5 linked regions of the Xenopus tropicalis genome follow. The protein of the gene in region 1 purifies or fractionates together with the protein of each later gene. This does not show direct contact. Links are inferred from orthologs where the notes say so. Each region holds a gene or a part of one and is shown in the gene's direction. Other genes may lie near its edges. The genes, in order: ptpn3, kctd3, shkbp1, vangl2 and ywhae.

Region 1 (6,853 bases):
TGTTAAAAATTCATCATAGATAGACAGAATATGTCAAAAGGCTTCCACTATAAAAGAAAAACAGCTGTGTGTGCCTGCACTCGGTGCATTCATTGCTTCTGGGTGCAGGCACAATATGAAGTTTTTTTTTAAAGGAACAGTAACGCCAAAAATGAAAGTGTATTAAAGTATTTACCCTGCACAGGTAAAGTTGTGTATTTGCTAGAGTAGCAGTACTATAGCTAATATAAATAAGCTGCTGTGTAGCCATGGGGGCAGCCATTCAACCTTGAAAAAAGGAGAAAAGGCACAGGCTACATAGCACATAATTGTATATATTGGGATCTATTTTTTGAATTATCAGCTATGTCCTACATTGAAAAAAATACATCAAACAAGTCCAACCTTTTGTCCCCAAAATACCTACCTGCTAGATGATTGTTTGTATAGTGAACACAAGTGGCCATACTGTATGTGCTTGTTTTCATGGGTTCCCAGTTTTTAACAGCGGCCCTGCCTGCAAGGGACCTGCAGAGAGCTTTGATTGTCGCTACTTGTAGCAGAGATAAAAACGGTACTAATCACACTAGATTGCTCCACCGACAGATCTGTTCCTACTCTTAAGAATTTTTGCATGGTTGTATGTTTTAGTTGCAAACACCTGCCTAGAAATATCATAAGGAATGTAATTCTACTGTACAGCCAACTATGGCATTATAAAAGACTAACGTGTAACATTCTCTAACTGACATACAATACTGCAGGGAAGGTAACTAAAATCATAAACATGCTATATAGTTAATAATAAGGGTGGCTCACCTTTAAATTATCTTTTAGTATGTTATAGAAATGCCTATTCTAAGCAACTTGTCCATTGGTCTTCATTATTTATTTCTTATAGTTTTTAAAATACTTGCCTTTTTCTTCTAACTCTTTGCAGCTTTCAAATGGGAGTCACAGTCCCCAGCAGCCAAAAAACTATTACTTGGTGAGGCTACAGTTTAATTGTCAATGTTAATTGTTTTTAAATTTAGGTCCTCTCTTATTCATTTACCATCCTTTCATTCAAATTGCTCCCTGGCCGCTAAGGTAAATTGGATCCTAGCAACCAAAAAGCTGCTTAAACTACAAACTGCAGAGCTGCTGAACAAAAAGTAAAATAACTAAAAAAACTACAAATAAAAAAAATGAAGACCAACTGCAAATTGTCTCAGAATATTACTCTCTACGTCAGTGATCCCCAACCAGTGACTCGGGGGCAACATGTTGCTCCCCAACCCCTTGGATGTTGCTCTCAGTGCCCCCAAACCAGGTAGTTATTTATGAATTCCTGACTTGGAGGGCAAGTTTTGGTTGAATAAAAACAAGATTTCCTACCAAATAAAGCCCCTGTAAGCTGATAATAGCCAATCACAGCCCTTATTTGGCACCTCCATGAACTTTTATGATGCTTGTGTTGCTCTCCAAGTCTTTTTACATTTGACTGTGGATCACGAGTATGAAAGGTTGGGGACAATAATTAAACACATTATTCAGTGAGAAACACAACCATTTATTGACTCAGAATTTAAATACAAAATTCAAAAAACAAAACATACTATACCAAATGGAAGGTACATCCCATGCTACATGGCACCCTCTCTCCTTCCTAACCCTGCTCTACGTCATACTAAAAGTAACGATTTTTCACTGAAGTTTTGCGAAACAATTCTCCAATGGCGAAATGCAAAAATTCGCTGCAAATCCATGCCTGACGAGAAAATTCGCTCATCGCTATTCATGTGGTTTGTCCCACATTATTAGCAGTCAGATAAAAATAATGGCATGGCAAAACCATTACATTGATATAACTACAACTATACTATAACAAGATTTGTGAATAATCACATATTGTAGTATTTTAGTAGCAGAGAATCAAACAATTAAAGGTATAGCTAACACTGAATATCTACCATACGTTTAATTAGGGCATTTTCACAACTTCATCAGCTGGGATTAAAGAAAAAAGAGTAGAAAACAATACAAACTGTACATATAAGGTGAAATGGAACTGCAACTGAACATAATTCTAGCGAGTGACTGTCTGCTCTGATTAGGATACCCATGCTAATGCACTGTGCCTGTACATGTAACAGCAGCACATAACCTCATGCTCCTCACGGAATGGCAGAAGGTTTAGAGTGACACTCAGCTTAGAGCGCTAGAGATTCCACCAGAACACAGTCAGCAGCACGCTCGGGCAGAAGAATGAGCCTGGGGGAGTGCAATCTACATTCTGTTGATATATTTTCTTTTGGAGAGCAGCTCAAGAGGCTCAGGGGAGGATCCAGCTGATGTCACACACAGAGGAGGGCTGAGAAAAGGAAAGGAGAAGCCATCAAACAGACGAGCTTTTTCCCTAAATGGATTACACTAGATATTAGTACTGAGAAGGCTGCTGTTAGGCTAATCAATGATAATAAAATATACATAGACAGCCTGATAGGTGGAGCCCCGCACCGACAAGAGGAAGGGGGAAGGTGGAGAAAGAAAGGAGGAGGCTTGTGTGTTGGAGTGGGACAGCAGTGCAGAGGTCTGGCTTCCTGTAATAGAAAAGAAGAAAAAGGGAGATATACCACCACCTGCTTTTTTTGTCAGGATCCAGAGGACGATACAAAAACTGCCCTGGATTTGTCCTTTCGGCTGTGGCAGGAGTGTCGGGCTGTGCTGGGTTGGCCAGAGCGATTCGGGAGGAGGATCTGAATGGTGCAGGTAAATCACTGCAGTAGGAATAGACAAGGCGCTGGTGCTGCACGGAAGCAACAGACTGTGCCTCGGTCACAATTGCGCACTGTAGGTGTGAGTCAGCCTGTCATTTCCCCCACGGGCCATACTGAGGGGCTTGGCTCGTCGCCTACCTGCAGGCTGGTGCTAACACTGCGCACACGATTGCTTAAGATGTTTAGAGGAAAACAGTATGTATTATTAAGGAAAGCTGTGCATAGAATTATATCTGTAATTGTAATCACACCCAAATGCTAAAATGATATGTGAAAAGAACAACACACTGCTGTAAAAGTTTTTTCTCTCAAAGTGGTACCGTACTCTGTTTCTGTTTGGCAAATTACATGCCTCAGATTTTAGTACGTTTCAGACAAAGTCATATTGTGTTCTGGTGGCAGTATGTGTGTATATATGTTCTGTGGTATAGACTTAGCAGTTGGGCCATATTATGCGCAGTAGTAGGGAAGTGACAGGTATGGGAAGGCCCTGCCAAGCCTCTCCTCTCCTGAGCCAACATAACTTGCTCAGCAATCTGACTTTGGTAGTTTCACCACTGACTTTATAGGGATTGTTGAGACAACAAGGATTGCTCAGTGAACAAGACAACTGTAGCCAAGGTTTGAAGAAGATGCATTTTTCTTACTTGAATTAAATTTCATACATTATTATTGTTTCCATACACCATATTTCAGTCACTTAATCAAAATACACTTTCATATTCAATAAGTACACTTTGTTATATTTAAAGTCATGTAAGTCCTGTTATGTCCCTTACACTCATGTGCCCCCCTTACTGGCCTTAGCCCTTTAATTAAAAGACCTGGTTAGGTTTGGGAATGTAACATAGTATTAGTGGCTTGCTTGGCTTTATTTTACATTTATTTAAAAGTGTTGTTATGAACATCAATATTTATCTTAGTGTAGGGATGTTACTTCCTTTTTATAAATTCTCATAGTATATATTTTGTTTAATCATGATATATAGCATATGCTGTATTGTATCTTGAAAGATCCATGTAAGAAGGGTTTTTGGTGTGAGAGAGATTGTAATTGTCTCTCTTGTCAAAAAGTTTTTCCTTTACAGGCATTGACAATTTAATCCAGTCACTTTGTTCCCAATGACAGTTTCTGTAGAGCCAATTAGTACAGAGTGTACTATATTGAGCCTTTATTTTTTCATTTAGAATTGATATAACTTTAAGATGCTCACTGATGTGTAAGTGAGAAATAAATATCAAGCAACAGTGGTGGCACAGCACTGGGTCAGAAAAAATGGCATTTGTCTGTGATGGATTAAGTGCACGTCAGTTGCATGTGTAGGCACAACATGCAGACAGTGAGCCCTGGAAGTTACTCCTTTTCAAGGCAAGTTTGTTGTGTGGTTTGCACTTTGCACCTCATGCAGAAGTGTAGAAGCAACCATCCTGTTTGCACATGTAGATGTTGAAGGGGTGTGTTGTTGCAAGTCCTTTTGTATTTGAATGTGTGCAACTTTATGCTTATTAAACCCTAGATCTGCGTAACAGATCTTGCCAAACTGGTGGATGTGATCTACTTTGACTTTGCTAAAGCATTTGACACAGTAAACCACAATAACAATCAATATGGTTTCTGTAGACTGCTAAAAAATAATTGCTGATTGGGTTTCTACTGACAGTTGAAATTTAGCACCTGCTTTTATAATTCATTGTGCTGGAGTTATTATAAAAAATTAAAATGGGCCATTTTTCAGAAGGTTGTGAATAGAAGTTTAAATGGCAATTCATAGATGTTCCTTTTCATTGCAGAATTAGACCTAGACCTAAACTGTAAGCAATGTATCACAATACATCTACATTTATACATCTTAACCCAGAAATTCAGTAAATTAGCACTGAGGCTCTCAAACTTGTACAGGAATTAGACCTGTTATCCAGAATGCTCGGGACCTGTGGTTTTCCGGATAAGGGATCTTTCTGTAATTTGGATCTCCATAACTTAAGTCTGCTAAAAATCATTTAAACATTGAATAAACCCAATAGGCTTGTTTTGCATCCAGTAAGGATTAATTATATCTCAGTTTGGATCAAGTACAAGGTACTGTTTTATAATTACAGAATTACAGAATAATTACAGAATTATTTTCTTATAATGGAGTCTATGGGAGATGGCCTTTCCATAATTCGGAACTTTCTGGATAATGGGTTTTCAGATAAGGGATCCCATACCTGTAGTATGTTACACTTTTAGTACAATCTTATGTCTTGTGGATATTAGTTGCAACCTAAAATAGGTAAAATCTGTTGAAAATAGCCATTAATAAAGGTTCATGCTGCAGAGTAGGAATCATTCTATTGCTTGAATTTGTTTATCAAATATAAAGATACTAATTAAATTAAAATCTGTGAAGTGAAATATAAGCAACTACAGCAGGCCTGACAATAAAGAGAACCAATTAAATACATTTGATTCAAAACATTTTCTTTCTTTTTTTTTTTTTTATTAAGGTGTTAACATCAGCAATATAGAGATAGAAAAGGGGACGAAAAGAGGGAAATATACAAGGCTTATACGAGCCTGGCACATTCATTAAAGGAGAAGGAAAGGCTAGTAAAGAGTTAATCTCAAACTGCAGGCATACCTTCAGTTGTCTCAATAGTGCCCTTAAGTCTCCCCATATTTCACCTGTTCAGAAGATCTGAAGCCAAACATGAAGAAAAAACGCTGAGCTGTGTAAAGAAAGTTCCCATAATCCTCGCTCCTGCACAGACACCGAGACCAAACTGAACATGCTCAGTTAGTAAGCCTATGAGTCAACTTCCTGCTGATTGGCTCAGATCCACATTCCTAAGGGGGGGGAGTGAGTTCTTAGCATTCTTGAGGGAGGGGGGAGCAGGAAAGAGCAGAGAACAGAAAGCTGCGTGTCTGTGGCACAGGAATTACAGATACAACTAATCTTTTTTTCAGAGAAGTCAGTGCAGCGTTTCTGTGAGTGCTTATGGCTGTATTTACATAGACCTTTCTGATAAAGCTTACTTAGTTTTTGCCTTTCTTTCTCCTTTAAGATTGTACTCTTAACCAGGGCTGGATTTACAAATTTGCCGCCCCGAGGCCGCCCCTGGACACACGCCCCCCCCCCGAGTGCGCATGCGTGCGTGACAGTGCGGGGGGTCTGCGAGCGCGCATGCGCGAATAGCAGGGGGGGGGGTCACAAGCGCGCGTGCGCCATAGGCCAAACTTGCATATGGAGCAGTGGGAGAAGTCCGCATTGCTCCGTATGGGAACACAAATTTTTAGATCTTTGGGTGGCGGGGCGGCATGCCGCCACCAGGTTTCTGCTGTCCTAGGCCCGGGCCTTTGTGGCCTCCCCACAAATCCGGGCCTGCTCTTAACCATGGGTCCCACATCACATTGAACTTATCTGGACAGCCTCTGGACATATATAGCAATTTTTGTTTAGGTAGCACATTGCTAATTAGTTTCTACTAGAAGGTGAGGGGCTACAGTAGACTTTCATTTTAGTACTTAAAATAATAATTGTAAGTAGCACAAATGTTGGTATGATGATAACCCCAAGTCCTCTATCACCCCCAGCAAACAGGAAGTCTCAGACTTTGGATCATTCTCAGTCCTCCATATAGATATTTAAAAGTGGATACTACCTGGAGTTGCTCAGGATGCAATTGTGGACCACTGGGAAAGGGGATCTTTTGGAAAAATAACTGATTTATTTCTGTTAACTTGGAAGCCCGAAAATGATCCAAAGACTGACACTTCCTGCAAAAGTTCTGTCAGGGCCACGGTGGAGCAAGATAGATAAATTAGAATATCATCTGCATAAAAAGACATTTTCCTCTATGAGATGTAGTCTCAGCCTGTCAAGCCAGGCGAGTCTGACGAGATTGCCACCCACAAGCATCTCACACTAGGCTGGAGGCTTAACCTGAGAGTGAGACAGGAAGCACAGCAGTGGAGAGAGGCTGGAAGGCCAAATAGCGAAGTACCGAGGAGAAAACGAAGGTGTAGTTAAAACGGGTCCGGGTCAGGGCTGGCAGCAAGGTTCACAAGCGGGAATTTCAGGCAGAAGGTCAAATAACAGAAGTTTCAACAATAAGTAACGCTGGGCACACTA
Region 2 (6,093 bases), on another chromosome or scaffold:
ACAGTCCATGGGATAATGGCCGACCTTTCTAACCTTCCCTTTCTCTGTAGGTTCAGGACGTTGTCCCTATTACAAGCTACGATACCGCTGGATCATTTCTTCTCTTGGGTTGCAACAATGGATCCATTTATTATATAGGTCAGCAGATTTACAAAGAGCTTTTATGTACATTTATTATAAACATGTACCAGATATTGAAGGAAACTTGATACTTTTATGTGTATGGAAACCTAGAGCTGAATATTTATTTTCCTTTTGTTTTATTTCCCCAAGAATGTCTCACTGACTCAGCTTGCTGGCTTAGCCTTATGTAAGCTGTATATAAGCTCATAGCCTGTACAGAGAGATACCATAAAACTATAGCACCATGGGGATTCCCCTGTACTAAGCACAATTCAGCAGGAACAGCCCCCTATGTTTGCCCATAGCATGTACAGAGAGATACCATAAAACTATGGCAGCATAGTGATTCCCTGTACTAAGCACAATTCAGCAGGAACAGCCCCCTAAGTTTGCTCATAGCCTGTACAGAGAGATACCATAAAACTATAGCACCATGGGGATTCCCCTGTACTAAGCACAATTCAGCAGGAACAGCCCCCTAAGTTTGCCCATAGCATGTACAGAGAGATACCATAAAACTATGGCAGCATAGTGATTCCCTGTACTAAGCACAATTCAGCAGGAACAGCCCCCTAAGTTTGCTCATAGCCTGTACAGAGAGATACCATAAAACTATAGCACCATAGGGATTCCCCTGTACTAAGCACAATTCAGCAGGAACAGCCCCCTAAATTTCCTCAGCCTGTACAGAGAGATACCATAAAACTGTGGCACATAGGGATTCCCTTGTACTAAGCACAATTCAGCAGGAACAGCCCCTAAGTTTGCTCATAGCCTGTACAGAGAGATACCATAAAACTATGGCACCATAGGGATTCCCCTGTACTAAGCTCCCTAATCTGTAGAGAGATACCATAAAACTAAGTAAACATAGGTATATGTACAAAGCAGGAATATTTCAGTGTAAAGCAGCCAGTTTCAAGGGGTAATTTTATTACAGATATGCAGAAATTTCCACTGCGTATGAAAGACAATGATCTCCTGGTGACTGAACTGTACCATGATCCCTCTAACGATGCCATCACTGCCCTGAGCGTCTACCTGACTCCTAAAACAAGTGAGTATCTGTATCGGAATTCTGATACACAGCTGGATTTGAATAAAAGTGCTTATAAATAGCATATACACATACACATATACACACATACACACATACACACACATACACACATACACACATAAACACACATACACACATAAACACACATACACACATAAACACACATACACACATAAACACACATACACACATAAACACACATACACACATATACACGTACACACATATACACACATACACACACACATACACACATATACACGTACACACATATACACACATACACACACACACACATATACACGTACACACATATACACACATACACACACACACACACATACACACATATACACACACACATACACACACACACATACACACACATATACACACATACACATATACACGTACACACATACACACACACATACACACACACATACACACACACACACACACACACACACATACACACACATACACACACATACACACACATATACACACATACACACATATACACGTACACACATATACACAAATACACATATATACATATACACATATATACATATACACATATATACATATACACATTTAACTTCTGGTTATATGGGGCTCACCTATATCCGCAAGTGCAGTGAGCAAAGTGCAGTTTCGAGCGCAATCGGCATGTGTTTTTTCCCAGAATTCTTGCATCATTGGGGTATCAAAGGGGCAATTCTCCTGACACAATTGCGCTGCTCCTACTTTCCTTCCATTATGTAGAAACCTCCAAGAAAACCTTACTTTTTTTTCTTAATGTCTTTCCATTGGTTCCCATCATAAATATCAAGATAAACACAATAATGACGTAATGGTTACATGTCTGCTGTGGGTTTCAGGTGTGAGCGGAAACTGGATCGAGATCGCCTACGGTACAAGTTCTGGCGCTGTGCGAGTGATAGTGCAGCACCCCGAGACGGTTGGCTCTGGCCCCCAGCTCTTCCAGACTTTCACTGTTCATCGGAGTTCTGTCACAAAGATCATGTTGTCTGAGAAACACCTTGTTTCAGGTACTAGATATGTAGATACTTTATTTGTATGTTTATTGTATGTGCTATGAGACCGGTGCGGGTCTGGTTGGGCATACCTGTGCCTCAGTTGGACCTGCACCCATCACCCTGCTATGCCTCCTACCCAGACCAGTTACGCAACCCTACTAGTAATGGGTAAACTTACCTTCCATGCTGGTCACCAAAAGTGACGTCACCGTGCACGGTGATATCACTCCGGTTAAGGAGGAAAAAAAATAGCATTATTGTTGGGGTGGGAGGGAACGCTTCTGCACCCAAGCAAGGTACCCACAGACTGCCTACATGGTCTGGTAATTGGGGACCTTCTACCCAAAACCCAACTGCTTTGCAGGTATTCTGCGGGTACCCAACCCGATGTACAGTATGTACCTATATCATGCTGCAAAACTAAACAAAATTCTATTTACACAGAGAAAGTGTCTTTGCTGAGTATTCATGTTACTCCACTGGGTCACATCCCGGCGGCACACTGGTCCCATCCTTGTTGGGCCCATTCATCAGTTGTATTGTAGGGTTCCTATAGAGCAGGGGTCCCCAACCTTTCTTACTCTTGAACCACAGTCAAATGTAAAAGGACTTGGAGAGCAACACAAGCACCATAAAAGTTCATGGAGGTGCCAAATAAGGGCTGTGATTGGCTATTAGGGGCCTCTATGCACCCTATCAGCTTACAGGGGCTTTATTTGGTAGGAAATCTTGTTTTTATTCAACCAAAACTTGCCCCCAAGTCAGGAATTCAAAAATAACTCCCTGGTTTGGGGGCACTGGGAGCAACATCCAAGGAGTTGGGGAGCAACATGTTGCCCCTGAGCCACTGGTTGGGGATCACTATAGAGCATATGTGCAGCCAATGGAGGGTCACACAAAAGAACAATGATGGCAACATTGTTACCAAACTGTCATCTCCTTCATATGCAAAACAGCAGGAATTCTTCAGGGAAAAAAAAGTCCTATTTTGCTTTGGATTTTTCCATGTTCTTCAATATGACTGTGTGGAATAAACTCTTGTTTTAATGTATTTAATAGTCTGCGCTGATAACAATCACGTCCGGACGTGGACAGTGACGCGATTCCGAGGGATGATTTCCACCCAGCCCGGCTCCACTCCTCTTGCCTCTTTCAAGATCTTGTCTTTAGAAGAAGCAGAAAGCCATGGGAGCTACTCTTCAGGCAATGACATAGGTATAGCTTGTATAACAATATGCAGTATGCAGGGCTTGGGAGGCTCTCTATATACAGGGAGTTGTCAGTACCACAAAAGGTTGTTTGTTGGTATCTACTTCCTTTTAAATCAAGGGGCAGGATCATTGTCCTATGGGAAAATACTTGTATTCCAGCTTAGTCAGGAACATACGGGTGAAATAGACCTTCCAGCAAGTCCTTCCTGCAGCCTATTGGAAGACTAGGGGAAGACTTATGGTATAAATAGAGAAAAATGTATGCAACATAACACTGATATTTGGGTAACAATAAAAATCCCATAAACTTAGATCTAGTAACCCAATAGTACCAATCAGATATTGGATTTCAAAGAAGGGGTAATGAAATATATGGCCATAAAGGAGAACTAAGCCCTAAAAAGAATATGGGAAAAAATGCCGTATTTTATATACAAACTTACAGCACCAGCCTAAAGTTTCAGCATCTCAATAGCAGCAATGATTCAGGTCTTTACCGTTGTCACAGGGGCTCCCCCCATCTTGGAAAGTGTCAGTGGCACTGCACATGCTCAGTGGGCAGCTGTTTGGAAGCTGAGCTTAGGGGTCGTTACAAGTTATCAAGCAGAAAATGAGGTTGGCCTGTTATATAAGCTGATGCTACAGGGGTGATTCTGGTGCTAATTACACTGGTTTCAAAGCTGCCATGTAATGTGAACCTAAATAAACTACTAATCAGCCTTTATATAGCAACATGTATATTCTATATATACAGTATATTGTGAGTGGGCCCCTAAGCTCAGGTTATATTGTACCATTTATATTGTATATATACAGTATATAGTGAGTGGGCCCCTAAGCTCAGGTTATACTGTGACATTTATATTCTGTATATACAGTATAGTGTGAGTGGGCCCCTAAGCTCAGGTTATACTGTGCCATTTATATTCTATATATACAGTATAGTGTGAGTGGGTCCCTAAGCTCAGGTTATACTGTGCCATTTATATTCTGTATATACAGTATAGTGTGAGTGGGTCCCTAAGCTCAGGTTATATTGTGCCATTTATATTCTGTATATACAGTATAGTGTGAGTGGGCCCCTAAGCTCAGGTTATACTGTGACATTTATATTCTGTATATACAGTATAGTGTGAGTGGGCCCCTAAGCTCAGGTTATACTGTGCCATTTATATTCTGTATATACAGTATATTGTGAGTGGGCCCCTAAGCTCAGGTTATATTGTGCCATTTATATTCTGTATATATACAGTATAGTGTGCCATTTATATTGTATATATACAGTATAGTGTGAGTGGGCCCCTAAGCTCAGGTTATACTGTGACATTTATATTCTGTATATACAGTATAGTGTGAGTGGGCCCCTAAGCTCAGGTTATACTGTGCCATTTATATTCTGTATATACAGTATATTGTGAGTGGGCCCCTAAGCTCAGGTTATACTGTGACATTTATATTCTGTATATACAGTATAGTGTGAGTGGGTCCCTAAGCTCAGGTTATACTGTGCCATTTATATTCTGTATATACAGTATATTGTGAGTGGGCCCCTAAGCTCAGGTTATACTGTGCCATTTATATTCTGTATATACAGTATAGTGTGAGTGGGTCCCTAAGCTCAGGTTATACTGTGACATTTATATTCTGTATATACAGTATAGTGTGAGTGGGTCCCTAAGCTCAGGTTATATTGTGCCATTTATATTCTGTATATACAGTATAGTGTGAGTGGGTCCCTAAGCTCAGGTTATATTGTGCCATTTATATTCTGTATATACAGTATATTGTGAGTGGGTCCCTAAGCTCAGGTTATACTGTGCCATTTATATTCTGTATATACAGTATAGTGTGAGTGGGCCCCTAAGCTCAGGTTATACTGTGCCATTTATATTCTGTATATACAGTATATTGTGAGTGGGTCCCTAAGCTCAGGTTATACTGTGCCATTTATATTCTGTATATACAGTATAGTGTGAGTGGGTCCCTAAGCTCAGGTTATACTGTGCCATTTATATTCTGTATATACAGTATATTGTGAGTGGGTCCCTAAGCTCAGGTTATATTGTGCCATTTATATTCTGTATATACAATATAGTGTGTGTGGGCCCCTAAGCTCACGTAAGTGACAGCAGCACAGAACATGTGCTGGGATTTAACAGAAAAGAAGATGGGGGGCTACTGGGACATCTACAGAGGCACAGATCTGTCCGCTAAAGGGCTGGGGTTGCTTTGGGCTGGTACAGAACCCCAAAACATAATGTACAATATTTATAGCCTACTTCTTTAGTTAAGCTCTAGTTCTCCTTTAAGTTTGCTTGTATAGTAACCCACAGAAACTAACCAGATCTTGGGTTTCAAACAGCTGACTAGTAAATGCTACCTGGTTGGTTGCTATGGGTTACTAGACATGTATAAGGCCATTTATTTCATTATCCCTTTAATGTGGTCATTCTTTAGGGAAAGGTGCAGTGCTTGTATATGTACAGAATAAAACACAACGCATAGAATAATTGGGGCTGATTTCAGTTGGGTTTCCATACATTGTTATTGGAAGACTAATGAGAGCTGCTATGGACCTCTCTGTATAATACTGTAGAACTATCCTATTAAGTATGAATATGAAGATTTATCATTTATCATTTATCCAGGCCAT
Region 3 (6,093 bases), on another chromosome or scaffold:
TACATGAGCTCATAAAATAGAGCTTGCGTTTTATTTTTAGCTAAATAAGACTAACAGGGAATTATCAGTGCACAGATAATCCCCCTGCATAATGCATGTTTACATTACTTAATATATACATTTTTAAAAGCAACCCTACAGATGTCATTTAGTTGCATGTTTGCTTGATCAGATTCTTTCCTACTGTAGGTGACAGTGGCAACTGGATAGAGATTGCATATGGCACAAGCTCTGGAGTGGTGCGAGTCATTGTACAGCACCCAGAAACTGTTGGGTCTGGTCCCCAGCTCTTCCAGACATTTACAGTCCATCGCAGCTCTGTCACCAAAATAATGCTCTCTGAGAGACACCTAATCTCGGGTATGTATAAAGAGAAACTAAAGCATAGTTCTTATATCCTCCTCTAGCGTTGTAGCTATTTTAAAGTTATTTGTAAAGACATAAAACCACTTTTTGTTTTCACTTTTTCTTGTGTGAATAAATAATTTGGCTGCTATGTTTGATATAAGATGAGGCATAAGAAAGCCCTGGAAATAACACTGGCCTTTACGAGGTGCTAGTTTTAAGGCTCTGTTTCTTTGTGGTTCATTCTTCTTAATCTACTTAATTGCATCCTCATACTGTTTTTAATGCTGTATGCATGAATTTTTGCACCTTAAGCTTTGCAGTTGCTTTAGTAAATGAGCCTTCTGTTCATCAGCTTTCTGTGTGTTCTGTAAAATACGTAAACATTTTCAGTCACCTTCTGCAGTAAGGGGTTTAAAGAATTGGAAACTAAAATTCATTCTAGTTTTCCATGACAGTAATTCTCATTTAGCAGCTACATTTTAAATAGGAGATGTAACACTTTCTAGAAATTTGGAATTTTTACAAGTGAACATTGTTTAACTGAACATTTTCATCTTCTAGTGTTACTAGGCCCCTTATGTTGACGTTCACTATTTTTTTGATTTTGAGTTGACAATTGCCAACATGTTAAGCTATGCAATTATGAGAGGATTATTTGCACAAGTTTAAATTATTTGAATAAATGTTTTCTCACTGGTAGAAGCAGGGATAACCCTGATGTATTTTATGGGTATTAGGTAACCAAATGATAGCCATTTGTATCGGATGATATTGTCTGAAACTCCTGACTGCTGTTCTGGCTAATTACTGGCAAACCACAGATTCCTAGAGATCTGGTCGTATGTTTAACTGGTATCAAGTCATTCACTGCTCCTTTGGATTGCGTTTACAGAGCGAAAATTGTTTCAACGTGTATAACGTGTTTTATATAGTATGTGCAGATAATAACCATGTACGGACATGGACTGTGACTCGATTTCGTGGTATGATCTCAACCCAGCCTGGTTCAACTCCTCTGGCTTCATTTAAAATCCTTTCCCTGGAAGACGTTGATGGGCATGCTGGATCCAGTGCAGGAAATGACATTGGTAAGCTTCATTTTTGGGAGAAAAGATTGTTGTTGTTTTTTTTTTTTTTTTTTTTTTTTGCTTACAAGTGCATATTCGAGCTGGACTAAGGTTTACAGTACAGATCTGTACTGGGGCCACTTCTGGAGAATGATCAAAGGCTTGAGGTATTGACCGCTGCCATTCAGTGGGGGAAATAAAGCCACCAGTCAAAAGGCACCTGTCACATCTAATGTTCTATGTGCAGCTTGTCTGTAGAAGATGGAGCATCTTGAAGTGGAGATTCCGTCTTTTCTTATGCTTCAGGCATGACACTTAATATTAGAAGTGACAGTAGCACAGAAGTGTGTGACTGCTGCAGTTTGTTGCTGGATGGCAGCAGTTGTCAAAAATAACCAATGTGGTATAGGCCTAGTGCTTGCAAGCTTTGTTTTCTCAAGTGACTACCCTTTAATGTTTCCAAAGCTTATAGCACAATTCTCTTGGCTTTCTCTTTCTGGATTATGCCAGATTTTTTTTTTCCCATAAGGTCCTTTTGGAGAACGTGATGATCAGCAAGTTTTTATCCAGCGTGTGGTCCCTGATTCTAATATTGTCTATGTCCGCTTGTCTTCAACCGGGAAAAGGTAATTGTTTTTGTTAGGTGTCCTAAGATTTTAAAGGTTAAAAAAAACAAATTATTTTAAATCTCTCTCAATACTAAGAACAATATGGCATAATTTTCTGTGTCCAGAGCATTCTCCGTCCGTGTGTTTGGCTTTGTTGCGGCCATTTTTTTTTTTCTGTCTGGTCATTTTATTTTGATGCATATGTAGCGCTAATACATCATTAGGCTGTCCCCTTTCATATAGTGTGTCATAGGCATCAGAACCAGGGGGGCCATGGTCCCTAATATTTTGCCCCCAAAACTCTTGTGGCAGTGGTGCTGCTAATTATAGTCGCATAAATAAAGGCCCATCTTCCCAGGTTCCCTATTGATTGTGATGTAATGGAGATGTCGCTGATATTCAATACTAATGAGCTTGTTTGTCAGTTATCGAGCTTTTGAATTTGACATTGTTTTTCTAAATCAAAGAACTCTCATATCGAACGATCGCTTACTTATTAAGGAAAACTTATTCAGATAAACTCGAATTTTCCAATACCAGACATCTGGCTTTTCAAACCATAACTCAAATTTGAGGGTTTTTTTAAGCACAAAAAAACTTGAATCGAGGAAAAAAAAAAAAAAACTAGACTGCTGATAAATCACCCCCTTACTGTACGCCTGGCAGTAAGTCCAACACCAATCCATATGTCAAGTCCTTATGCAGTCTTTCTTGCTGTAAGCATGCAATCCACCATACACCACTGAAAATGATTCTCGCCCTTTTGAATACAAGCTAAAAAAACTAACCTTGGCTATCGTAAAAACAATGTAATAAAATAAGGATATAAGAATTCTGCATACTGGTTACAGGTCAGAATAAAATCATGTTACTGGAGTTCTTGAGCAGTCTGTTGGGAAGGTCAAATACATTATCTATGGTGGAGCTAACTGTCTTTCAGAATTTTAAAATCAAGATTATTAGTCTTCAGATTATGTCCCTTTCAATTATCTATCAGTCGGTTAGACAAAGAAAGCACACACACCATATTTTTCACCAATCTGTCAATTGAGATTCAACTCCTGCATGAAGGGGGAGATTGAGAGGAGCATATTATAAAGTATAATAGCATGATTTCAGAAATGTAGAACTTTTTAAAATATTTTCAAGAAATGAAGCTCTCGTTAAATTTTTTTCGCTTTAGGTCCCCATTAAAGGAAAATATTATTTATCTTATTGCCTGATTGTGTTTGGTTTAGAATCTGTGAGATCCGTTCTGTAGACTGCACCCCTATCACATCTTTTACCGTACATGAATGTGAGGGCTCAAGCCGCATTGGCTCCCGTCCACGACGGTACCTCTTTACTGGTCATGCCAGTGGATGTATCCAGATGTGGGATCTTACCACTGCAATGGAAGTAGCAAGCAAAGGGGAAAGCAGAGGTAAAAATTAAAATCCTGTTTTTTTAGGAAGGGGTAGGCAATTATTTGAGCTTTTTGTACCCCTCCAAGGTACTTGTTTTAATCATGCTTTTGCCTGTCCAACAGAACTTGGTGGCCTTACAGAAAAAGAGCTGCTGGAGCAGTTGGAACAGTGTGACTTGGCTTTGACCCGCACGCCTGAATTGAGCCCTGCTGCATCTTTCTCCCATTCAGCCAACCCTCGTGCCTCCATAACCAGGTATTTCCACTGCCACACACTTTCTAATAGAGTAGTGCATTTTCTGTGATCATGCTTCGTTAAAGCAGCTTGGTCAGTCAAGCTGTTCAGAGTTTGATTTGTTCCACATACTCTGCAGGATCTTTTTAACGTAAAGCCCATAACCAGCATTTTTCATATTTCCGGTAAAGCATTCACCATATCTGTTTTGGCAAAGGCTGTTGCAGACAAGCGGGGCTATTTGAAAGTAAATTATTTTACAAAGAAATTTAAACTTTGTTACTTTTGTGTTTTTAAAAGTGCATATGCACACCATGTATATGTTAGACTGTTCCTGGTTAGCTTAATGGCAAGTATATTTTCCACTTTCTGCAGAGACAAGTTTTCCAGTTGTCTGTTTGTGAAGCACTGTGGTTTAATGACATATTTAATATCCATTAACTTCCCAATACCTTCCTTCTGCAGCCTTCAGTCCCAGCCGAGTGAGAGATTCTCCAGGACTGCTTTTCCTTCCTCTCGACCTCCAGTTCTTAATGGACGACCCTCAGAAGGATGGGCTTCTTTGTGTAGTCTCCAGCCTAACCTTTCTGGTAGCTTTGGCTCTCTCCAGAAGTCTGACACTTTGCCCCGCTCTGGCTCCAGGCCTTGCAGAGCACTGCGTAACCAACCACAAATGGAGGTTAATGGAATGGCTTCCACAGATTCTACTTCAGCTCGTGCCAGTGGCAGCTTTGTGGAGCGCTGCCAAGAGCTTGCACGTTACACAGAGTCCCAATATCTGGGTTCACAAAGGTCAAGTTATGAGACTGTAGCCACCAGAATAAAAACCCCTCGGGGTTCTACTTCAGCAAGGCGACCAGGCTCTCCTACACCTCCACAACCTCCTCCACTTGGTATTGCCACTTCTTTAGCTCCATGTTTACCTCCTACTTGTTTCTCTGCTGTGGGGGAGGCATCTGCCTCTTCTCCAACTGCTCCTAAGCTTACACTCAAACCTAGGTTAAATGAGACCTCCTTTTAAAATAGTCTTCTGTGAGTTGCATTGCTAAACAATTGGCAGCTATTTTGATAGAAATCCTTACACCATTAGTATTTATAATTGTGTAGATTTGGCAGTATTTTTAGTACTGGATTTATAAAACCATGCAATTACTGCTCTAAATATACACAACTGTATTTTATTTGTATTAATAAATCTCTGATTCATACAGATATAGTCAGTATAAACGATCAGTTGTTGCCCTTGGTAATGTCTCTACAGTTGTGTAGTCATTAAGAGCACATGGTTTGAATAGTATTATTCCTTCCCACGTTTAACTAGAAACTACAAGGTGCAAAGTGACATGAAAGCTGCTAAAGAACAGAAAAAGCAAGGGGGAAAATGCAACAGAAAGCACCCTCTTTGTGTCTTGCTCCAGTCTGAGGCTCAGCAATTTGTACTTCTAGAATGGAGCACAAAAACGTGTGCCTTACACTGCATTGCTGTATGCTGCCTACATTCAATGTGCTGCATACAAAAAGGGCAACAAATGTATATCATATCTCATGGGTAACATGAATAAAGGACTACCCAGCTCCTTATGCCCCCCTTAATTGTCTGTCTGATGTGCAAACTAGGTGACTGGCTTGCATATCACACACACAAGTCGGGGGACATGAGGAGCAGGTTAGCCCTGTATGTAACCTTTATTTATAGTGGGACTTATATATAGGGCTGCCTTGAACCAGGCATCACTTTGCTACGCACTGCTTTGCAACCAAATACTTGGTTAAGAACTGAGGATGCACATTGGTTTCATTATCATTTTTCTTTTGAAGGAAATTTTGTTTTCTGTAATCTGGAGATAACTGTGGTCTACCCTGGTCACAATGCTTAGGGTTTAACAGCAGTAACGTGGCCTTATCTGCTACATATATTTTTTTTCATGTAAATTGGGATGACTACATGTCTCTGAATAAAGCTTTTACAGCTGTACTAAAGTCAAATTCTACATCTTTGTAAACTTTGTGTTAAATTTTTTTAAACAATGTGAAACAGGACTGATAGGTTTACATAATCTTTCCATGTTAGGTCTCTAGAGTTTGTTCTGGCAAATTCAAGCTTCACCACTACTACCATCACCACCACCATAGTCTTCAAACTCCATCTTTTTAGCAACATCTCACTCTTAATCTTCTTTCTTTTTGGTGGCTTCCACTTGATGGCTGTTGTGAATCTGGGATAACACGCCTGCCATGCGGGGATCACATTTCCTGCAACAGCATTTTCTTGTGGTCTCCTACTCTTCCCCTTAACCACTTTTTAACCACTGTTCTGCACTTTTTTGGCTTCCACAATGGTCTAGCTCCTCAGTAAATGCAGCAAGGCCTTCTTTTCATAAACCAGGAGGAGATTGTCTCTATAGATCCTGAAGCTCTGAAATCTTGGTG
Region 4 (6,575 bases), on another chromosome or scaffold:
GGATATTATAAGTCACAGAGGGGTTCCATGGCCATATAAAGGTTATTTGTGGCTCTTGTATATTATATAGTGAATAAAGTACCCCCTATTGTAACATATAGGGATATTATAAGTCACAGAGGGGTTCCATGGCCATATAAAGGGTATTTGTGGCTCCTGTATATTATATAGTGAATAAAGTACCCCCTATTGTAACATATAGGGATATTATAAGGCACAGAGGGGTTCCATGGCCATATAAAGGGTATTTGTGGCTCCTGTATATTATATAGTGAATAAAGTACCCCCTATTGTAACATATAGGGATATTATAAGTCACAGAGGGGTTCCATGGCCATATAAAGGGTATTTGTGGCTCTTGTATATTATATAGTGAATAAAGTACCCCCTATTGTAACATATAGGGATATTATAATTCACAGAGGGGTTCCATGGCCATATAAAGGTTATTTGTGGCTCCTGTATATTATATAGTGAATAAAGTACCCCCTATTGTAACATATAGGGATATTATAAGGCACAGAGGGGTTCCATGGCCATATAAAGGTTATTTGTGGCTCCTGTATATTATATAGTGAATAAAGTAGCCCCTATTGTAACATATAGGGATATTATAATTCACAGAGGGGTTCCATGGCCATATAAAGGGTATTTGTGGCTCCTGTATATTATATAGTGAATAAAGTACCCCCTATTGTAACATATAGGGATATTATAAGTCACAGAGGGGTTCCATGGCCATATAAAGGGTATCTGTGGCTCTTGTATATTATATAGTGAATAAAGTACCCCCTATTGTAACATATAGGGATATTATAAGTCACAGAGGGGTTCCATGGCCATATAAAGGTTATTTGTGGCTCCTGTATATTATATAGTGAATAAAGTACTCCCTATTGTAACATATAGGGATATTATAATTCACAGAGGGGTTCCATGGCCAGATAAAGGTTATTTGTGGCTCCTGTATATTATATAGTGAATAAAGTACCCCTTATTGTAACATATATGGATATTATAAGTCACAGAGGGGTTCCATGGCCATATAAAGGGTATTTGTGGCTCTTGTATATTATATAGTGAATAAAGTACCCCTTATTGTAAAATATAGGGATATTATAAGTCACAGAGGGGTTCCATCAGGGTCAGACTGAGGGGTTGCAGGGCCCAATTAAACCCCCCCAAGAGACCCCCATGTGGCCCCCGCCGCCCACCCAACCCCCGAGCGCATATACTTAGGCACATCGAGAGAGGACAACCTGCGTGCCCCGGATCGGTCTGGGTTTTTTCCCCAGTCCCATGACCATATAAAGGTACATATATACATATATAATATACAGTAATTTCCCTATGGGACCAAACCATAAATGATATCCTTATAAATGGTGAGTAGTAATGTCATCAGTTATAATCTGAGCTTGGTGATGTCATTTCTGTCACATGACTCACTTAAACTTGTATATTATAATAAATAAAGTACCCCTGTTGTAAAATATGAGGATATTAGAAGTGACCTATGATTTCCATGACCTTTATGGTCATGGGACTTCTCTATGACTTATAATATCCCTATATGTTACAATAGGGGGTACTTTATTCACTATATAATATACAGGAGCCACAAATACCCTTTATATGGCCATGGAACCCCTCTGTGACTTATAATATCCCTATATGTTACAATAGGGGGCACTTTATTCACTATATAATATACAGGAGCCACAAATACCCTTTATATGGCCATGGAACCCCTCTGTGCCTTATAATATCCCTATATGTTACAATAGGGGGTACTTTATTCACTATATAATATACAAGAGCCACAAATACCCTTTATATGGCCATGGAACTCCTCTGTGCCTTATAATATCCCTATATGTTACAATAGGGGGTACTTTATTCACTATATAATATACAAGAGCCACAAATAACCTTTATATGGCCATAGAACCCTTCTGTGCCTTATAATATCCCTATATGTTACAATAGGGGGTACTTTATTCACTATATATAATGATACAGACACACCAGGGAGCCATGTGAGCAGTGACATCACTAAGCTTCCATTCTAAGGGATGACATCACTAAGCAGCATTGTTAAGGCTATGACATCACTAAGCAGTAGAATTGTTAGGCTCAGTCTATAGGCAGATAGCCTAACATTAACCCTTCTGTGACACCCACCCCAGTATATACCAGGCAGCTAGTTGGCCTCTGATAATGACTTGCTAAACAGCCCTTAGGGAGCGATTAGGCAGCAGCAGAAGGTGAGAGGGGAAAGAAATCCCAAATAAGATCAGTGCTAAAGCCCCAAGCTGCGCTGGGTTTGCCCCCCCCCCCCCCCACAGAAAGGGGATCCGGGGAAGTGAGACAATGGGCAGGGAGGGGGGAGGAGAGCGGTGGGTGGGGCTTGCCGGGAGGGCGGGGCTTGCCGGGCTGCAGCCGTAGAAGTGTATGGAGCTTGGGGGCGGAGGCACAGCGCTGCTCTCTCTCTCACAGCCTAAGGATTGTGCGTTGTGGATCTCCGGGGGATCCCGCCCGCTCCCCGTTCGGCCGCCTGTGACCCCTCTCCCCGCACCCCGAGTGTCGCCCTGTGGATTTAGCGCAATACCGGCGCAATACCGGCGCAGCGAGGCTCCTACAAAAGGACTGGCGCTCCCCCTTTCTCCCTCCGCCTCCTTTTCTCAAACAGCCTCCGTCCGTCTCCCTTCCCCCAGTGCCTGGGATCCCATGCCCGCCGGGAGCCTGCCTGCTGCCCTGGTAAGTACCTCTCCCCCGGGGTGGATTGTGCCGGGTACATTGTGCCCCCCATGGGTGGGTGAGAGTGGTACAGTCTCCTTGCTGTGCCCTCAAACTGCCTGCTGCTGCCTGCAACTGCCTGCTATCATTCTATCTATCATTCTATCCTACATTGGCTTCCCAGGTACATGCCTTTCCCTATGTTACTGTGGGTTTCACTGGCCTGCTTGGCATTTGGGCCCCTGTACCCATATTCCCTAGCCCTGCACCCAAGCCCTCTGGTTAGAGCTGGGTGCCACTGACTATTATGGGTCCGGTTACCCTGATGCCTGGCCTCCCATTGGCTCTGGGTAGCAGCTAGATGTGGGGTTCCATGGCCCTGCACCTCATCCCTCTTTTCAGCCTAAATCCCATTACCCTGAGCCTTTGCCCTCCCAGTAGCTCTGGGCCCTGTGGCCCTGCACCTCATCCCTTGCTTTAAGTCTGGATCCAATTACTCTGACCCTTAGACCTCCCATTTGCACTCCAGCCCTTCCTGTATATATACCCCTCATGGTCCAATTACCCTAAAACTTGGCCATCCTATTAAATCCTGCCCTCGCGGCCCTGCACCTCATCCCTTCTTTCAGCCTGGATCTAATTACCCTAAGCCTTTGCCCTCCCATTAGATTGGGGCCCTATGGCCCTGCACCTCATCCCTTCTTTCAGCCTGGATCCAATTATCCTGATCCCTAGACCTCCCATTTGTACCCCCCCCCATTAGATCTGGGAGCCACCCATCTTTCCCTTTAGATCTTGCCCTATTGCCCTACACAACAGCCCCCCCCCCCATTAGATCTGGGAGCCACGGCCTTGCCTCTTATCCCTATTACTGCTGATCCATAGCCTTCCCTTTAGATCTAGCCCTATTGCCCTACACAACAGCCCCCCCATTAGATCTGGGACCCATGGCCTTGCCTCTCATCCCTATCACTGCTGATCCCTGCTGAAGCCTTCCCTTTAGATCTAGCCCTATTGCTCTGCACCCCAGCCCCCCTATTAGATCCCCCTTGTCTCTCATCCCTATTACTCCTGATCCCTATCCTTCCCTTTAGATCTTGCCCTAATGCCCTGCACCCCAGCCCCCCCCCCCCCCCCCATTAGATCTGGGAGCCACGGCCTTGCCTCTCATCCCTATTACTGCTGACCATAGCCTTCCCTATGGACCTTGCCCTATTGCCCCGCACAGCAGCCCTCCTGTTGGATCTAGATCCGACCGCCCTGATTCTCCTGCATTCATCAGATCAAGCATGGGCTAGTTGAGGCCCTCCAGATCTTTTTAAGATGCAACTCCCAGCACCCCTCCTTCAGCAGCATCTGGAGTATCTCCCATTAAGTAAGCCTGATCCTTCATTTTGCCTTTGATTCCCATTCCCCTGGTTAGATCCATAGCTGCGGCATTCCCATGGGAAGCTGGGGGTGTCAGTGATCCTTTCAGCACTGCCTGAGCCTTACTAAGCCTGGCACAGAGCACTCGCAGCAGCCGCATTTCCCTTCCCAAGGCCTTGAATTCCACTGAAATCCCTGCAAGGCCCCACCAAGCCAGGGACTCTCCTGACGGATCAGCCTGGGTCATAAGTCAGTTGCCTGGGGCGGGTTGGTTTGGGGAGGAACTGCCAACGTTACACTTCACACCCAATCCACACCGGCCGTTCTGCACTCAATTGTTTCCCCCGTTGCTAGCCTCTCGGGAAGGGCCGTCTGGGCCGGCCTGTTTACTCTCCTACAGAACACAAATAGGTGTTTATTGTTCTACATTCATGCCATAAAGGAGCGATGATAACACCACGGTGTAGTAAAGCAGAGCCTCATTAATAATTAACCACAAAGCTGCGAACAACAAAAAAATACAGTTAAAGACTGTGAATGTATTTTTGGGTTTATTTCCCCTTTAGTGTGTGTATAATCTGTCAGTATATACGATTTACATGCGTGTGCATTAAATGTTTGTGTGTGACCTAAAATTAATGAATTTGAAATGCATTCCGAGCCCAGTAATTGAGTGTCAGGGTCAAGTATCTGTGAAGGGGGGGTGGGTAGATCTATCAGGGCACGGCGGGGGTGGCTGTTTCCCACTGAATGGGACAGAATTACAAAGGAGAAAGGGTGATAGTGTTGGTCCTTATAAAAGAAAAAAAAAAGTGACATTCCCACCCCATGAGAAGGAGCGTTAGTGAAAGGGCTGGGAAGATGATTTAGGTGCCTGGGGGGTTCATTCAGATGGTACCTGCCAAAAAAGTAGGGTTGGGGGGTAACAGGTGGGGAGAATAAAAACAAGTTATAGCATAGGGTATTGGGTTCATAGTCCAGAAATCTTGGCGCTGGTTTGGCTGTAGTTATAGCCAGGATGTGCAGCTCTGGTGATGGTTTTCGGTAGTGGTGGGTATTTGGCACATGAATTACCCCAGGCTGGTGCGGATGGTGGGTCAGGCGTAAATGTAGGCATTTAAAGCTTGCATTGGCCACTGCATGGGGCCTTTCTGACCAATATATGGCAAGATATCTTTGAAAATTAGGCTGGTGTTGTGACCCTCTCCCTGGTGGTTCTACATGGGCCTCTCCCCGGGGTGATGTGGTCCTCTCCCTGGTGGTTCTACGTGGGCCTTTCCCCAGGGTGATGTGGTCCTCTCCTTGGTGGTTCTACATGGGCATCTCCCTGGGGCGATGTGGTCCTCTCCCTGGTGGTTCTACATGGGCCTCTCCCTGGTGTGATGTGGTCCTCTCTCTAGTGGTTCTACATGGGCCTCTCCCTGGGCTGATGTGGGCCTTCCTTCCTGGGGGTTCTACATGGGCCTCTCCCTGGGGGTTCTACATGGGCCTCTCCTCGGGGAGATGTGGTCCTCCTCCCTGGTGGTTCTACATGGGCCTCTCCCCAGGGTGATGTGGTCCTCTCCTTGGTGGTTCTACATGGGCATCTCCCTGGGGCGATGTGGTCCTCTCCCTGGTGGTTCTACATGGGCCTCTCCCTGGTGTGATGTGGTCCTCTCTCTAGTGGTTCTACATGGGCCTCTCCCTGGGCTGATGTGGGCCTTCCTTCCTGGGGGTTCTACATGGGCCTCTCCCTGGGGGTTCTACATGGGCCTCTCCTCGGGGAGATGTGGTCCTCCTCCCTGGTGGTTCTACATGGGCCTCTCCCCAGGGTGATGTGGTCTCTCCCTGGGGGTCTCCCCAGGGTGATGTGGTCCTCTCCCTGGGGGTTCTACATGGGCATCTTTTGTACTTAACCCCAGGGAGGGGTATATGGCACAGGAGCAGTGGGTTTCTTTGCCCTGGTATAGTAGCAGCGGGGGGGGGGGGGGGTATTTTAGAGCCACAGGGGGTAAAGGTTCAACTAAAGGTCTTTGCTAAAGGATTCCATGGTGGAAACGGCACATAGAGACCTCTTGTTTGAAGAGGGAGCACTTACAGAATAAACACGGCTCTGTGTGTCTGCTTCTTATCCCGATGCTCCATCTCTCCATTGCACTTTATCCCATGGCTGATAGATGTGCCTCGGGGGACGTGCCGACGTTAAGACCCGATGACGGACTGCTAGGTGCCTGGATGCCCTCAGGAGTAGAAAATCTTTGATGTGACCCAGCACAGCGTGGCTACCAACCATTTCTTGGTTGCTAAGGCAGTTTGGACCCTAGCAACCCGATAGCTGCTGACACCAGGAAGTACTCTGTAGTTGGCATCTTTAAGACCCAGTTCTGGTAAAACTTGGGGAAGGGCAGGGAGTTGTAGTTCTACAGGAGCTGTAGTGCTTTATCCTCTTGACTGGAATCGGGGAAGCGTGTCCCTCAGTTCCTAGCTTG
Region 5 (6,775 bases), on another chromosome or scaffold:
AAGATAAATACAGCTGCAATAAGTTAAGAGTCGAGGACACAAGAGGAAGGAGGTCCCTGCCCCGTAGAGCTTACGGTATAAGTGCTGTAGGTCACAGTGGTTGACATTACATTATAAGTGCTAGTTCCCAGATCAGGTGCTGGGTGAGTGCTCCAAAAGGTAGTCTTTAAGTTTAGTTTTAAAAAGACTGAGGGAGGATTCTCTCCAGAGGAAATCAAGGAGGACATTCCAAATGTAAGGGGCAGCAAGGCAGAAAGGTTTAAGGCGGGAAACAGCAGTAGTAGTGGGGGCGCAACCAAATGATTGCTCTGCGAGGAATGGAGGGCTTTGAAGGTTAGGGAATTCTGGCAGCAGTATTTAATATAGACTGTAGGGGGGAAAGATGGGAGTTAGGGAGGCCGATTAGTAGCAGGTTACAATAGTCAAGTCGGGATTGGATGAGAGCATGCATGAGCAGCCTAGCTGTTGCAGTAGAGAGAAAGGGACGGATTTTGGCAATACTGCGTAGGAAAAAGTGACATGTTTTAAAAGTGGTGTTAATGTGGTCAAAAAAGGAGAGACTGGAGTCAAAGATCACCCCCAAACAACGCGACGAATCAACGGGGTTGATGAGGGTGCCATCAATAGAGATAGAAATATGTAAACTTATCTCTTGCATTTGTATCCCTGTACACTGTAACATGCTATATGGAAGGCAATGGCACTATAAAATTAATAAATATAAATGCTGCGCTTCTTTGCACTGTTTTTAGCACATTAATATCCTTCATAAGGACTGGGGCGCAAAAATGCATTTCATACTTAAAGGAATACTGTCATGGGAAAACATGTTTTTTCCAAAACACATCAGTTAATAGAACTTCTCCAGCAGAATCCTGCATTGAAATCCATTTTTCAAATACACAGACCCTATTTCCTATATTTATTATTAAAAGGTCATTTTAATATATATTTTATTTTAAAATTTCACATGGGTCTAGCCATGTCCTTCATTTCCCAGGGTGACTTGTGCTCTGATAAACTTCAGTCACTCTAAAGCTGGAGTGATGTCACCCCCCCTTCCCCCCAGCAGCCAATCAGCAAAAAAATGGGAAGGTAGCGAGACAGCAGCTCCCTGACACCTGTATTGCTAAAAGTGGTAGATGTCAGAATAGCACTTAATAGTAAAAAATCCAAGTCCAGTTTAGGACTCCTCCAGTTACAGGAAAGAGAGAATAGATTATCTGAAAGCAGTGAGAATTTGTAGCACAACTCCTTCTGAAAGATAGCTTCAAGAATAAAAATTTAAATGCTAGAGGGAATGATTTGCTATGTAAACGGTGTAATTTAGAAATAAAAAGTACCCCGTAAAAGTCATGACAGTATCCCTTTAACGGAAGGCCTTACCAGGGATCTATACAGAGTTAATGTCCGTTTTCATGCAAGACTAGTCCCGAGAGATACAGCCTAGAGCTGCACAGTGTAAGGCTGGCCATATACTAAATGATCTGCTTGTTTTGGTGAAGCTGCAAAACAAGAGGATCTCACCTGTATCAGCCCACCTTGAGCTGGTCAATATCACACTGATTCAATTTGATCCAAAGACAGTATGCATTCTGTTAGGAGGAGGACCATGCTAACAAGCTGATTTGGTTCTTGTCCCAATGGGATTTTTTTAACTTACCTGATCAGCAGCTGGCCAATTTTCAGCCAGATAACATTGAATTTGCAGTTAATGTTCACTGGGTGCTTTGCCAGTTCCAGAACCTGCCTGTTAGCAACACGATTAGACAAAAGTTAAGCATGCTCCCTAAAATGACTGCTGTGGGGCCGTCACCCCTAGTTAAGTCACTAAGTAACGCACTTTAATGCACCAGTTGCTGTAACAGTCTGTCACTGGTACCATTTTGTCACCAGTAATGGGGACACAAAGACAGACAACTAATCTCCCTGAAATGCCTTCCCACTGGCATCAGTGACTTGTTGGTGGGAAAGCATACACAGCTCATCCCTTTCTAAAACCAGCAAATGAATCTGTGTGTAACCCCTGCCCTTACATCCCCTCTCACCCATCCCTGTGTTATAGTAACAGCCATGGAGATCAATGGAAATCGGCTGCTATCCTGCTGTTCCTTGCATAACCCTATCATTAGAAGGGAGTGCATTCCTACAGAGGGAAATGTAATTAGATTGGCATCACAGACGAGTTTAAGTGTGATTTAAATTTAAAAAAAAAAGGGGGAATAATAGAAAACTGCGCCCCAGTCACAGCGCAGCGCAGCCCGACCAACTTTAGCGCTCCCGCCCCGCCTACTTACGCAGCCTTGGGAACTACTAGAACAGAAGGATCTCTGACATTACCTGGAAGCTATATAGTATAAAGCCCGTCTTTTCTATTTCACTACCTCCCCCTCCATCACAATAATCAATGAGACAATCGTCCCATACCTCCCGGACTCCCTTATAAGGTCAGCATGAGGTAAAAACCCCGCCCTTTCATGCCTGACGCAAAGCCGTTGGGCCCCGCCCATTTGTGCCGCGCCTGCTGCTGTTGCTAGGGAGCCGTTGCCATAGAGTTGAGCGATTGTCCGCGTGCGCAGGCGGAAGTGCCCGGATTGAGGCTGCCATCTTTCCCGGGCAGAGCTAGAGAGACAGAGAGGTTGAGTCACTGGGAGACGGAGACAGACAATCGGCTTCCATCCGCCCAGTAGATCGCCTTTAATCCCCGCTAGCTACCGCCATGGAAGAGCGAGAGGATCTAGTGTACCGAGCCAAGCTGGCAGAGCAAGCCGAGAGATATGACGGTAAGAAGAATCGCTAAATTCCCCCCCTTAGGTCGACGGGCGGAGAGAATGGAGGCGAGACAAAATGGCGGAGGGTCTAGCAAAGGGAGGGGAGGACAAAGGAGACCCTCATAGTACAATAGGGACTGCTTTTCTGGGATGACAGTTGCTTAGACCTGGCTGCCATTTAGTGTTAGAGGAGCTCCCTGGGGCTGGCTGCTGGCGGCCAAGCGGGAGGGGGCTGTGGTAGGAAGGGAGGCTGCTTATAAAATGGCGACTGCCGAATAGGGCGAGACTATGGGGGGCGGAGGGCGATTTATGGTGTAACTGACCCTTCAGCCTTTTAGGAGGAATAACAGAGGCTTAGACTGGGGGGCAGCTCCCCTATTGATACACTACACATCCCAGCATGCACTGCTAACCGGGCTGCACGGAGTGCATGGGAGCTGTGGGACCGCAGAGGGGATGTAGGGATATATGTGCCGGGGATAGGGCAGTGTGCTTATGGGCGGATCACTGGGGAAGATGGCGGCTGGGGCCGGTAAAACGTCTGCAGTGGTGCAATTTCCTGGATATGTGGGAAAAGCCGCTTGTCTGGCAGCGGAACAGGGGGTTAAGGCATCGCCATGGAAATGGCACTTGGGTGGGATGGCCCTCAGGCTGCGGGCGGCATTTGTGGGCTGAAAGGCTCATTGTCCCAGTCAAGCTGGAATCATGGACAATGTGCAGGTTTCGTGTCTGGCCAGTAATGAGTTCTCTTGGGTTACACACACTGGTCACATAAGGGGGGTCTCCATTATTCCTCAAAGCCCTGCAACCTTCAGCTCTGAACTACAACTCCCAGCATTCCACTGGCTTCACAAGCTGGAAGAGGCACAGGGGTTTGATAGCGTTCCGATGGGATGGAAATCTAGCTCCACTGAGCTTAAAGCTGCATCCAAACGGTGTTTGAATTTTTAAATATATTTTTTCCCAGAATTCCAGCATCTGTCAGCCAAAGCAGTCAGGGTGTAGTAGCTTGCTGGGTGCATCCTTTCATTGTACATTGGTGCAGTGTTATTGTGCAGACCTCCTATCTTTGTTATTCCACTGACAGCAATCTGGGTGGGGGGAGAAGGAAGGGTTATGGTGATGCTGCAAGCCCTTTTACTGTACAAAAAATCTTCCCATGATAGGTCTAGCTCAGATTTTTTTTCATTATTATAAAGGCTGTCTGAGATAACAGCCTATTTTCTATACGTTTTTTTAATTTTCATATGTGATATTTGCCAGGTTAATTCACACTGTCCCAGAAGTGGATTCTATAGTTGGCTGTTTCCTTAGCCAGCCTTGCCTCAGTGAAGCAGTAGGACGCGCCTTGCTGCGCACCTCCGCCCTGGGCCTGGCCTGTGTGCTGTTTCATGCGTCCAGGCTCATTCATTCCTGTCAGACCAGTCCCTCGTCGTGCAGAGGGATTTGTAGATCTGCATCTGGGTGCGTGTCTGTGAAGAGTTGGCAGGTGTGGGCGTGCCCTGTCTGACAGAATGGCCTTAGTCCTGACTGTTCTACAGGATAACAGGCATCCATGGAAAATTGATATATTTTTATTATTATTTAGATCTGGTTTATTTAATTTCCTCCAGCCGCCCTTATTTTTCTTTTACACCCCTAATTAGAACAGATACATTTTCTGTTAAATTTCTCCCACTTAAATTTTAGATATGGAGGAATAATTTATTTATTAAATGCACTGTGATGTTACTTTATACATATTTTAGATAACTCCCCAAGAAACCACATGAGAGGCATTGAAATCCTTATTAATGGAGTGGGGGTACCAGTCACCCACCTCCTTGCATTTATGGAATGCTTGTTTATGTGGTTACCTTTGTCTCACTTGTTTACTATATTTGGAATCCTGGGAATGCTGTAGTGTTCTAGAACAGAGTGTCTGGAACCTGACCTGAGGCAAGAGAATGTCCACTTATCCACATATGTTCATTATTATGTGAATAGCAAAATGTGGTAGGTCCTCATGCTGGAATGCTTGGATATTCACAGAAATGTCATTGTTAGGGAGGCATTAGAACAGGTTTTGAGAACCTTTTTATTCAAGAGATTTAATTTTCAGAACTGTGTGACTGAAACATGCACATCAGATGTGTCTCTAAGATATCTATACCATCCTACAGCTGCCCAAAGACTCCATTTGTATGAGTTATATTTCCACTGAGCTTCTGTATAGCGGATAATACCCCCCCCCCCCCCATATACACACAAAGTTGCTGATTTTTAAAGTGCTGTCTACATAAGTAGTTCTAAAGTCCTGAAGAGTGTTGGGTACCCAGGGTTATCTGCGAAATTTTTTTTGGGGGGGTTTAATGGGGTTTCTGGGGTGTCATTTTTTTTTTTTATTCCTTTACAGTTATTCATTCAATTTTTAAACTTCCTTTTTACTATTTCACTTCTTGCATTATGGTATCCCTCCTGGTAGTCTTTAGATTGTGGGCCAGAACAGGTAAAAAATGTGAGCTGGGTGGGGGTCTACCCAGTTAAACTCACATCGGTCTCTACACAGTTGTATATTTTTAAGAATACACTAACAGTACACATAGGGAACAAAAGTTCAGTACAAATATTTGTTAAAATCTATTCAGTAAAATGGTAAAGGGGCTGTATACTCTTGTTTAACATGAGTTTAATTACTAGGCCTTGTGCCAAACATACTGTTTGCCTATAGTTTTAAGTACAAAAAAATGTATTTACTTCTTGAGCTGGACTGGGAAATTAAAAGCTACTCCATATTTGGTCCTTTCCAGGTAGCAAATGATATTACCAGAGCTCAGATAATTCCCCTTCATACTGCACTTGGTTGGCTTGTATACTGATCTAATTAGCTCTGTTGCAAAAATCAACCATGGTGTAGAACCATTGATTTTTTGATAATAAAAACAGCCAAAAAGTATGTTCAGCACAAGCCCTATTCATTGAATTTATGTTAAACACTGTTTACTGTTCCTTTAAGATACAGTAATAAGCAGTGCTGTCCAACTTCTCATGCAGTGAGTAGATTTGACATTCCACATGAGCATCATATTATCTTAAAATAATGTCATACAAAGAAGTCTATATAGCTCCTTAGTGGACAGGGGGGCTATAAAATTCCATTGGAGGGCCACATCTGTCCTGTGGGCCTCCCATTGGACAGCATTGCTGTAAAACATTCTGGGCATTTGCTTCAAATTCAATTCTGCCACAACCTCACTGACCTTATGAATGTGTGGCGCACGCAGGGTATAAGAATAAAATCCCACTGGTAAAATTTAATCAGCTGTAGTTTTTTATTTTCTTTTCAAGTGTTAGGACCTAATAGACACTGAAACATGCTCTTCTTGCATCCAAACCAGGTGGCTTCAGATATAACTAAGCTAAACTAGTCTCTGGCTTCAAGACGTCCTGTAGATCTCACACAAAAGTTTAAAGCATGCTACAAGCAGGCCATTTTTTGGCCTTGTGGTATGCATGTTTCCTTGGTTTAGCTATACACATGGATGTCTCAGTTGTGCTGGTGTAAATAGTCATCCTATCTGCCAGAGTCTGGGCCTTTGCAGATTCTAGGGTTACCAGGTGATCACCAAGGCACTTTAAAAAGTTGGTCATCAGTCAAGTTTTCTCTGTTGCATATTCAACTGACCCTCCGGGGAGCTGTTAGAGGTACGCTTACTGACACATCAGAGGTGTAACATTTAGTATTTCCTCCTGAGGTGATAAATTTTTTACTTTTTAAATTATAATATAGTTATGGTGTCTTATTCGAAATGAGGGACCTGGGGTTTTTCAAAGATGAATCTAAAAATGTAAACATAAAATGCTTTTACTTACTTTAGGATTTTGAATAATTTAGCATAATATAGATTTAAAAGTTGGCCATGGGAATAAACCTCTCCCTCTCTGAGGGCACATAGGGCATAAGGTTTGCTTCTCTCTGCCTGCATTTTGTACACAGTAGATAGAAATTAAAGTCGCCAGTGGAA

What was found.
Region 2: the proteins of ptpn3 (region 1) and kctd3 purify together in Homo sapiens (affinity purification with mass spectrometry; 4 studies listed by BioGRID and IntAct, with this or other methods). This does not show direct contact. The link is inferred for Xenopus tropicalis from reciprocal best matches to the Homo sapiens genes PTPN3 and KCTD3.
Region 3: the proteins of ptpn3 (region 1) and shkbp1 purify together in Homo sapiens (affinity purification with mass spectrometry; 4 studies listed by BioGRID and IntAct, with this or other methods). This does not show direct contact. The link is inferred for Xenopus tropicalis from reciprocal best matches to the Homo sapiens genes PTPN3 and SHKBP1.
Region 4: the proteins of ptpn3 (region 1) and vangl2 purify together in Homo sapiens (affinity purification with mass spectrometry; 3 studies listed by BioGRID and IntAct, with this or other methods). This does not show direct contact. The link is inferred for Xenopus tropicalis from reciprocal best matches to the Homo sapiens genes PTPN3 and VANGL2.
Region 5: the proteins of ptpn3 (region 1) and ywhae purify together in Homo sapiens (affinity purification with mass spectrometry; 5 studies listed by BioGRID and IntAct, with this or other methods). This does not show direct contact. The link is inferred for Xenopus tropicalis from reciprocal best matches to the Homo sapiens genes PTPN3 and YWHAE.

What each region holds. Positions count from the first base shown.
Region 1 is NC_030682.2:75,075,145-75,081,997, forward strand, and holds the start of ptpn3 (tyrosine-protein phosphatase non-receptor type 3), read left to right. Parts: upstream 1-2,553; 5' UTR 2,554-2,730; intron 2,731-6,853.
Region 2 is NC_030681.2:13,191,789-13,197,881, reverse strand, and holds part of kctd3 (BTB/POZ domain-containing protein KCTD3), read left to right. Parts: intron 1-50; coding exon 51-138; intron 139-1,063; coding exon 1,064-1,180; intron 1,181-2,070; coding exon 2,071-2,241; intron 2,242-3,288; coding exon 3,289-3,444; intron 3,445-6,093. UniProt on the Homo sapiens protein: Accessory subunit of potassium/sodium hyperpolarization-activated cyclic nucleotide-gated channel 3 (HCN3) up-regulating its cell-surface expression and current density without affecting its voltage dependence and kinetics.
Region 3 is NC_030684.2:78,029,460-78,035,552, reverse strand, and holds part of shkbp1 (SH3KBP1-binding protein 1), read left to right. Parts: intron 1-189; coding exon 190-360; intron 361-1,280; coding exon 1,281-1,436; intron 1,437-1,944; coding exon 1,945-2,041; intron 2,042-3,261; coding exon 3,262-3,446; intron 3,447-3,551; coding exon 3,552-3,684; intron 3,685-4,128; coding exon 4,129-4,684; 3' UTR 4,685-6,093.
Region 4 is NC_030684.2:137,172,198-137,178,772, reverse strand, and holds the start of vangl2 (vang-like protein 2), read left to right. Parts: upstream 1-2,518; 5' UTR 2,519-2,760; intron 2,761-6,575. UniProt on the Homo sapiens protein: Involved in the control of early morphogenesis and patterning of both axial midline structures and the development of neural plate. Plays a role in the regulation of planar cell polarity, particularly in the orientation of stereociliary bundles in the cochlea.
Region 5 is NC_030678.2:46,065,679-46,072,453, reverse strand, and holds the start of ywhae (14-3-3 protein epsilon), read left to right. Parts: upstream 1-2,549; 5' UTR 2,550-2,719; coding exon 2,720-2,783; intron 2,784-6,775. UniProt on the Homo sapiens protein: Adapter protein implicated in the regulation of a large spectrum of both general and specialized signaling pathways. Binds to a large number of partners, usually by recognition of a phosphoserine or phosphothreonine motif.